Sus scrofa: one gene and its partner. Each later gene encodes a partner of the first gene's protein in a complex. Links are inferred from orthologs where the notes say so. Each region holds a gene or a part of one and is shown in the gene's direction. Other genes may lie near its edges. The genes, in order: SMC2 and NCAPD3.

What was found.
Region 2: the proteins of SMC2 (region 1) and NCAPD3 are in contact, whole or in part, in a cryo-EM structure (PDB 9F5W), measured with the Homo sapiens proteins. The link is inferred for Sus scrofa from reciprocal best matches to the Homo sapiens genes SMC2 and NCAPD3. Residues at the interface, in NP_001036015.1 of Homo sapiens: Arg112, Ala122, Asn123, Asn124, Thr125, Arg126, Leu218, Lys222, Arg225, His229, Trp940, Asn942, Ala943, Glu944, Phe948, Arg981, Met985, Arg986; in NP_056076.1 of Homo sapiens: Asp31, Met72, Ile80, Pro127, Gly128, Ala131, Phe135, Pro137, Asp141, Lys235, Gln237, Gln240, Leu1121, Asn1196, Asn1200, Pro1203.

The regions. Positions count from the first base shown.
Region 1 is NC_010443.5:245,416,043-245,419,864, forward strand, and holds part of SMC2 (structural maintenance of chromosomes protein 2), read left to right. Parts: intron 1-1,582; coding exon 1,583-1,693; intron 1,694-1,888; coding exon 1,889-1,933; intron 1,934-3,258; coding exon 3,259-3,492; intron 3,493-3,709; coding exon 3,710-3,822. UniProt on the Homo sapiens protein: Central component of the condensin complex, a complex required for conversion of interphase chromatin into mitotic-like condense chromosomes.
Region 2 is NC_010451.4:60,733,219-60,737,040, reverse strand, and holds part of NCAPD3 (condensin-2 complex subunit D3), read left to right. Parts: intron 1-562; coding exon 563-677; intron 678-765; coding exon 766-876; intron 877-2,084; coding exon 2,085-2,323; intron 2,324-2,954; coding exon 2,955-3,034; intron 3,035-3,822.

The DNA.
Region 1 (3,822 bases):
TACTAGTCAGATTGATATCCACTGAGACATTGGGGGATGCCCTAGTAGTTCTATTTTTAATTTTTTGAGCAGCTTCCATGCTGTTTCCCATAATGGCTGCACCAATTTACAATCTCACCAATAGTGCACAAGGGTTCCCTTTTCTTCACATATTCACCGAAACTTATTTCTTATATTTTTGATAATAGCCATTCTAACAGTTGATATCTCATTGTCATTTTGATTTGTACTTGCCTGATGATTAGTGATATTAAGCATCTAATCATGTACTTATTGCCCATTTGTATGTCTTCTATGGGAAGATGTCATACTGCACATTTTTTTCATAGGGTTTTTTCCTATTGAGTTGTATGAGTTCTTTGTGTGTTTGGGTATTAACCCCTTATATATATGATTTACAGATACTTTTTCACATTCAGTAGGTTGCCTTTTCATTTTGTTAACAATTTTCTTTGCTGTGCAGAAGCTTTTTATTTTGATGTAGTCTCATTGTTTATTTTTGGTTTTGGTGTCAGATCCAAAGAATTCATCACCAAGACAGATGTCAAAGACCTTACCTTTTTAAATTTCTTCTAGGAGTTTTATATGCCCAATACCATATTAAAAGAATTTTTGACTAGAAAAAGTAGCCTTTCTCAACTGATGTTCATGTCGGAGTTAAACCTACAGAAAAAGATCTGAGTGAAATTAATTCATTCCATACAGTGGATTACTCAGGACATTAAGACTTAATTTTCTCTTGGAGCTCCCTTGAGAAGAGTTGGTGTGAAAGAATGAACATTTTAAACAAGAGCAAAGGCTCTTTTGGTATTTTTTCCTATGGAATAAAACTAAGAAGATGACTGATAATCAGTAACACTAGTCTGGTTTGACCATTGTTCATGCTTATTTTCCAAATACATAGAATTAAAATGGTTTTCAGAGAAATAATCCTCCTGGGAGAGGGACTGATGGTGAATAGAAGCTTCTGAAAAAGGAATGCTAGCAAAATTGTCCTTATAAAATTAATTATAATAATAATACTACTTCCTTTTCTTACAGTACTTCTCACATGAACTATTTTGTTTACTTCTCAACAGTGTTATAAGATAGTATCAGGACTCTGCAGATGAAAAAACTGGGGCACAGAGAATAAGTTCCTTGCCCAAGCATGTGCCACAGTTCAAATGCAAATATTAGACCATGCTTCATCCATGTATGCACAAAATGGCTGAAGTCTTATTTACAACAATTCTAAGTAGAGATTTGTAAAATGAAAGATGAATATTGTTAGCCTTAATTTTAAGTCTTGTATTTGAAGGAAAAGAGAAGGAAGGAATTACTGGCTTCAGTCTTAAAAGAGATGTACTCTGGAACCTCATGTAGCATAAAGTTTGATTTTAAAATTGGAGTGAAGGCCAGGAGTATGTCCTGAATGTTAGGGTTAATGGATAATATGTACATTTATATACTTAACTTTTATGGTCCATAATTTTGTTAAAATTCTTGGTGAGGTTAAGGCCCTAAATAATATCATTAATGTAAATTCCAATGAAACTCATTGTCTTGGATTCTTAAAACGTTAAAACAAGTATCTTTACAGATTTTGTCCATGATAGAAGAAGCAGCTGGAACTAGGATGTATGAATACAAAAAAATAGCTGCCCAGAAGACAATAGAGAAAAAGGAGGCTAAGCTAAAAGAAATTAAGACGGTAATTAAATTTATATAAAATATTTTTAGAGAAGAGTGTAATTTTGTATTTAGAATCTCTCTGCTGTAAAGAGGGAAATCCACCCTCCATCACCCTCAGTTCAATTTTCCTTAGTCTTCTATTCTATTTCTTTCTTTTAAATTTCTTTAATGGTACTTCACATACTAAAAAATATGATTTTCCTTTATTTTCCAGATTCTTGAAGAAGAAATTACTCCAACCATTCAAAAATTAAAAGAGGTATATACACTGTATATTTGAGGAAATCCAGCCAGAATATGTCTCAAAATTGGTGACGTATCCACGATCATATACATAGGGATGGAAAGTGTACCGCTTCTCAGGAGTTTTTCACAGGGATGAGTTAGAGTTGGTGGACTCCATACTCAGTCTTCTGCTTGTAGAGAACAGTGTACTTCATTTCTGTTAAGTCATAATGGTTTTGTACATTGCCCTTCATAATCTCAGAAGATGATGTGTCAGAATTTAGTTTTTTGTGGAAGAGAACTCTCCATTTTCCTGGATAGTTGGAATTGAGTGGAATAGCATTTCTTAAAGATAGGCATTCTTGTAAATCAACTATACTTCAAAAATTTTAAAAAACTTTTGAAAGATATGGCACTCTTAGTAAAAAGAGTGAATAACCTCTAGAATAAGGGGTGCTACTGCTACAGTTACCACTGTCCAGGCAGTTGGTAAGTGAAAGGTACTGGAACAGATAACTATGTTTTCTCTGTAGTCTTTGCAGCTTCTCACATCAAAATCAGTGTTCCAGTGAAAGAATGCATTTATAGTGCATTGTTTTAAAATTATACATTTAGGAATTTATTAAATGTTCACAAAAATTTGATATTTCTCAAAACTGTCTTCTGAATCCATATAGTAGCATAGATGTTATTGGAAAAACTGAAAAATTGTGGCTTTGAAGGTACTGCCTTTAGTATGTATGATTTATTGGAAAACGCTAGATTATGAGTTTAAACTTAGGTGTCATACCTTATTTTGCCAAATTCTTTCCAAATCTGACAATACGGAGAGGTCATTTAATCACTTTTAATTTGTTTCTTCATCTGCAAATTAGGGATTTTAATTGTTATTTTGTCTGCCCCAGTAGGTCCTATGAGAATTCAGTTTGATAATGTGTAACCAAATGTTTGTAGTTACATAAATGAATGTTTGGGTAGGCATCTTGGTAATATTACTACAAAATACATTTAATGGTGTATCGTTCATGGTTGTGCAGATTGTATTTATATAGATCTCTCAATACCTCCAGTCTGTGAACCTTTTGTCCGCATTTCTTTGTTAATCCCAACTGCCTGATTATATGTGAGAAGAAATAGCTACATAGGATTCACTTCAGATGGTATGCTTCCTTAAAAGCCAAAGTTCTAATATTATTTAAAGTTTCCTAAAATTTATAATCCGTGATCACTCAATCTAAGAAAGGACCTGCTATATCATGTAATGGGAAATTTTGTACATTTGGCTCAATTTTGATTCTTTCTAAATTTGTTTAGAAACATGAATTTTGAGTTATACTTTATTGGTGCTTTCTCTTTCAGGAAAGATCTTCCTATTTGGAGTACCAAAAAGTAATGAGAGAAATAGAACATTTGAGTCATTTATACATTGCTTATCAGTTTTTGCTGGCTGAAGATACCAAAGAACGCTCAGCTGAGGAGTTAAAAGAAATGCAAGATAAAATTCTAAAGCTTCAAGAAGAACTGTCTGAGAATGATAAAAAAATAAAAGCACTTAGTCATGAAATAGAAGAGTTGGAAAAAAGAAAAGATAAGGTCAGACATATATGTAAGAATAGATAATATACTCTGTGAAAAAAATACTAAATTATATACAATGTTTAGGATTTACTAGTATTGTCTTCTATAGTGATTATTAATCTTACAGTATGATAAAATAGCTTATGAAAAGTAAGTATATAGAAATTATATAAGAAAGTGATAATATGAACATATTTTAAGTACATGACTGAATTGGGTTATTTGATTATAGGAAACTGGAGGTATACTTCGATCTTTAGAAGACGCTCTTGCAGAAGCTCAGCGAATTAATACTAAATCTCAAAGTGCCTTTGATCTCAAGAAGAAGAATCTGGCAAGTGAAGA
Region 2 (3,822 bases), on another chromosome or scaffold:
ATCATGTGCCCTCCCAGCCTGCTCAGCTCTCCAGGGGCAGTGGTGTTAGGTCAGGAGAGGGTTAGGTCAGTGTGAGGTTTAGCATGCTTATGTAGTCATTGAACCTATTTATCTTACATATCAACATGAAAGGATGCTGATACTAAAGAATCACAGACTTCACCCTCATGTGATTGGTGAGTATGTGAGAAGAGCAAAGTGAAGCCCTGGAACTATGACTGTGACTTAGAAAAGAAAGTCAAACAAAATCAAGGACGGTATCTGCAGTTAGTGGCTGTTCTGTGTCCCCACTTACCTGAAAACACTGTGATTCACTTTATTGCGGTGCAGTTGTGAGCAGCACCCCTTTGACTGGAAGGAGTATCTAGACATAGATGATAAAACTGTATATCACCCTGATTTTGGATGAATTTTTACAATGGCCTTGTATTTTTATGGGGGGAAACAGTCATTTAATATGGGACAAAAAAAGGTACAAGTACTTCACTGACATGGCCTTAATCTTGCTAGAGTTCATTTTTCTCTTGCCTTATTCTTACTGCAGAACCAATTCTCTCTGCAGGTGAAGTACATTTTCACCTTAGGAGACGTAGCCCAGCTCTGTCCAGCTAGAGTGGACAAGAGAGCCTTCCTGCTGATCCAGTCCATCCTGGCTGCTTCTCCCAGCACGGACCACTGTAAGGCACCTGCCTACCCTTTGCACCTGCTGCCTGCAGGCTGGGTTAGCCCCCGGAGTAGAGCAGTAAACCTCCTTCCCTCCTACAGTGCCAGCCTCAGATCCAGGCGGCAGTGAGGCCACAGCCTCCCAACCCCTCCCAGGGATCCACAGCTCCATCATGCCCTCCGTGATCAGAGCACATGCCGTCATTGCCTTGGGTGAGTAAGGAGACCTGGGGCAGCCACCTCCACATGTGGTTTTGTCTTAAATAAGCCAGTGATTTAAAAAGCCCCTGAGCTCAGGAGGCAACTATAGAAGCACCCAGATCTGCAGTACACTCTCTATTTATTACCTTTAAACCTGTTCCTGTGACTTTTTTTATACTTGCAATAACACCCTGAGGCCTATTCATGAAGATCTGTATGCCAGGTACTGCACTGAGTTCTAGGAATGAAGAAATAAATTTGCAGGTCACTTTATAAAGAGATAGTCTGATGCTTTCCATGAATTCATATGGTTGTTTATCTTGAGAAGACTGACATCTATGCAATAATTTGAATTTTGATTTTTTTGGGGGGGAGGCTGTGCCCACAACATGCAGAAATTCTAGGGTCAGGGATCAAACCCATACCACAGCTGCAACCTGATCCACAGCAGACAATGCCTGATCCTTAACTTGCTGAGCCACCAGGAAACTCCTTCAATTTCTTGTGACTATATTTTATTCTTGGTATGAGTTACAAATCTTTTTGTAGTAATTTTTTTTTTCAAAAATCTAAGAATTGTAAATAAGAGGAAAACATTCCCCAGGCAATAAAAGAAAAAAAGGTGTGATAAATGACATGATTGTGTATTTGACTCACTCACATTTCAAGTTCATTCTTCAATTTCTTAGCTTCTATCAACTATAAGTATAATCTAAAGTAAAATGTGGAGTTGCCCATTGTGGCTCAGCAGGTTAAGAACCCAACATAGTGTCCATGAGAATGCAGGTTTGATCTCTGGCCTCGCTCAGTGGGTTAAAGATCTGCCATTGCTGTGGCTGTGGAGTAGGCCCCAGCTATAGCTCCAATTTGACCCCTAGCTCGAAACTTCCATATGCTGCAGGTGCAACCGTTAAAAAAAAAAAGAGAGAGATGTAAAATGTATCATGGGTTTTATCGGTCATTTTCCAGGTAATTAGCTCCAAAACTCAAGCGCTGGTGACTTTACTGCAGTAAAGGAACATCTCAGAGTGTCCATCTCAGGACACCCTGGGTTGGGCAGGTGGTATTTTGAACTTCTTACTGTTTTGTTTGAGTTATGTCTGCCTTTGATTTTTTGTGATTGTCGATGTTTTGACTTTGATGAAATAATATCCAAAGCAGGTTACAGCTGGAGAGAAGGCATAGAATAAAGAATCAGGGTATCCCTCTCTTGGTGGCAGGAAAGCTGTGCTTACAGCATGAGGATCTCGCCAAGAGGAGCATCCCAGCCCTGGTGCGTGAGCTGGAGGTGTGCAGCGACATGGCCGTCCGCAACAACGTCGTCATCACCATGTGTGATCTCTGCAAGCGGTACACGGCCATGGTGGACAAGTACATCCCCAACATCTCTGCGTGTCTGAAGGACTCAGAGCCGTTCATCCGCAGGCAGACGCTGCTCTTGCTCACTGACCTGCTGCAGGTGCGCAGGTGGTCTTGCCCCCACCGGCCTGCTCCTGGCCCAGGGGTACCTGGGCAGCGCCGAAGGTGGCTGTGTAGTAGAGTCACAGGAGCCTCAACTGCACTTTCAGATACCACTCTTCCAGTGTTCTGAACAGACTTTTAAGTAGATTCTTACTTCCTAATATTCCTTTTGGGTGTTTGTTCAGAGACCCAGTCTTGCAGGGTGAAATGGTATTTTTACAAATACTCAGCACATAGAGAAAAGTTTACATAGACAAGTAGGTCTAGTTCCCATTCTTTGAAGGGTCCGTGTTCCCAGATGGAACATCATCATTTGTACAGTGAGGACCCTTACCCTTGCCCCGGCATCCCCAAAGACATGCTCTGAGAGCCTGGGAGATGTGTCCACATGAGGGGAAATACTATTTGATCAGAAGGTATTTAAGTGATTTGTGTCTGTTCTGGGCCCTCACTGTCTCCTATGGTGTGCACATCACAAGGGTGCCTCTGACCCTCTTCCTGCAGGGCAGGAGCTCTGAGTCCTTTTCTCCCACAGCCCTGTGCTCTTGGGGTGGGTGGGGTGAGTGCAGATGGCCCTGGAAACAGAGGGGCTGCATGTTGAAGCCCCCATGATGCCTTCTCTCATGCAGGAGGACTTCGTGAAGTGGAAGGGCCCCCTGTTCTTCCGGTTTGTCAGCACACTGGTAGACCCAGACTTGGCTATTGCCAGGTAAGCCTTTTCCCTTATGCCAGACAGCCCAGCAATTGGCCTAATTTCTGGCAAAGATCTCTTTTCTTTAAAAGCGAGTTGTTTATGTACGATTTAGTGATTTTTAAAATACTAAGCTATATAATAAAGCTTTAGTTTGCTTGTAAGTTTAAAAAGAAAAAAGCCTGGTAGTTCCTGTGATGGCTCAGCGGTTAATGAACCCAACTAGCATTGATGAGGACGTAGGTTCGATCCTTGGCCTTGCTCAGTGGGTTAAAGATCTGGCGTTACCATGAGCTGTGGTGTAGGTCGCAGACGTGGCTCAGATCCCATGTTGCTGTGGCTGTGGCATAGGCTGTCAGCTTCAGCTCCGATTAGACCCCTAGCCTGGGAACCTCCATATGCTGCAGGTGCAGCCCTAAAAAGACAAAGAAAAAGGAAAAAAAAGCCCTCGCCCAGGTCAACCATTGACTAACCTGCCACTGACCACATTTGTCGACACTTCTGCTCCTTCACACGGAGCAATGAAGAGCAGTGTTTGCCTTTGGTCACCTGTCAGAGCAGAAGCCAGCCAGTGTTAGCAGGAGTTCAGACTTCCCTCCAAGTGCAGAAACTGCAAGAAGAACTCGGAATTAAGACAGGATCGCTTTGTGTGAAATAAGAGTGTACGGTTTACAAAGTTCCTTGGAAATGGCTGTTTCCTGAGAATTGGAAGGCAAGGGGGTTGCTTTCCCCCTTGTTAATTCATCTCCTGTCATTTTCTTAAAATGTTTATTTTTAAGGAGTTGAGAAATAATCTCACAGAATCT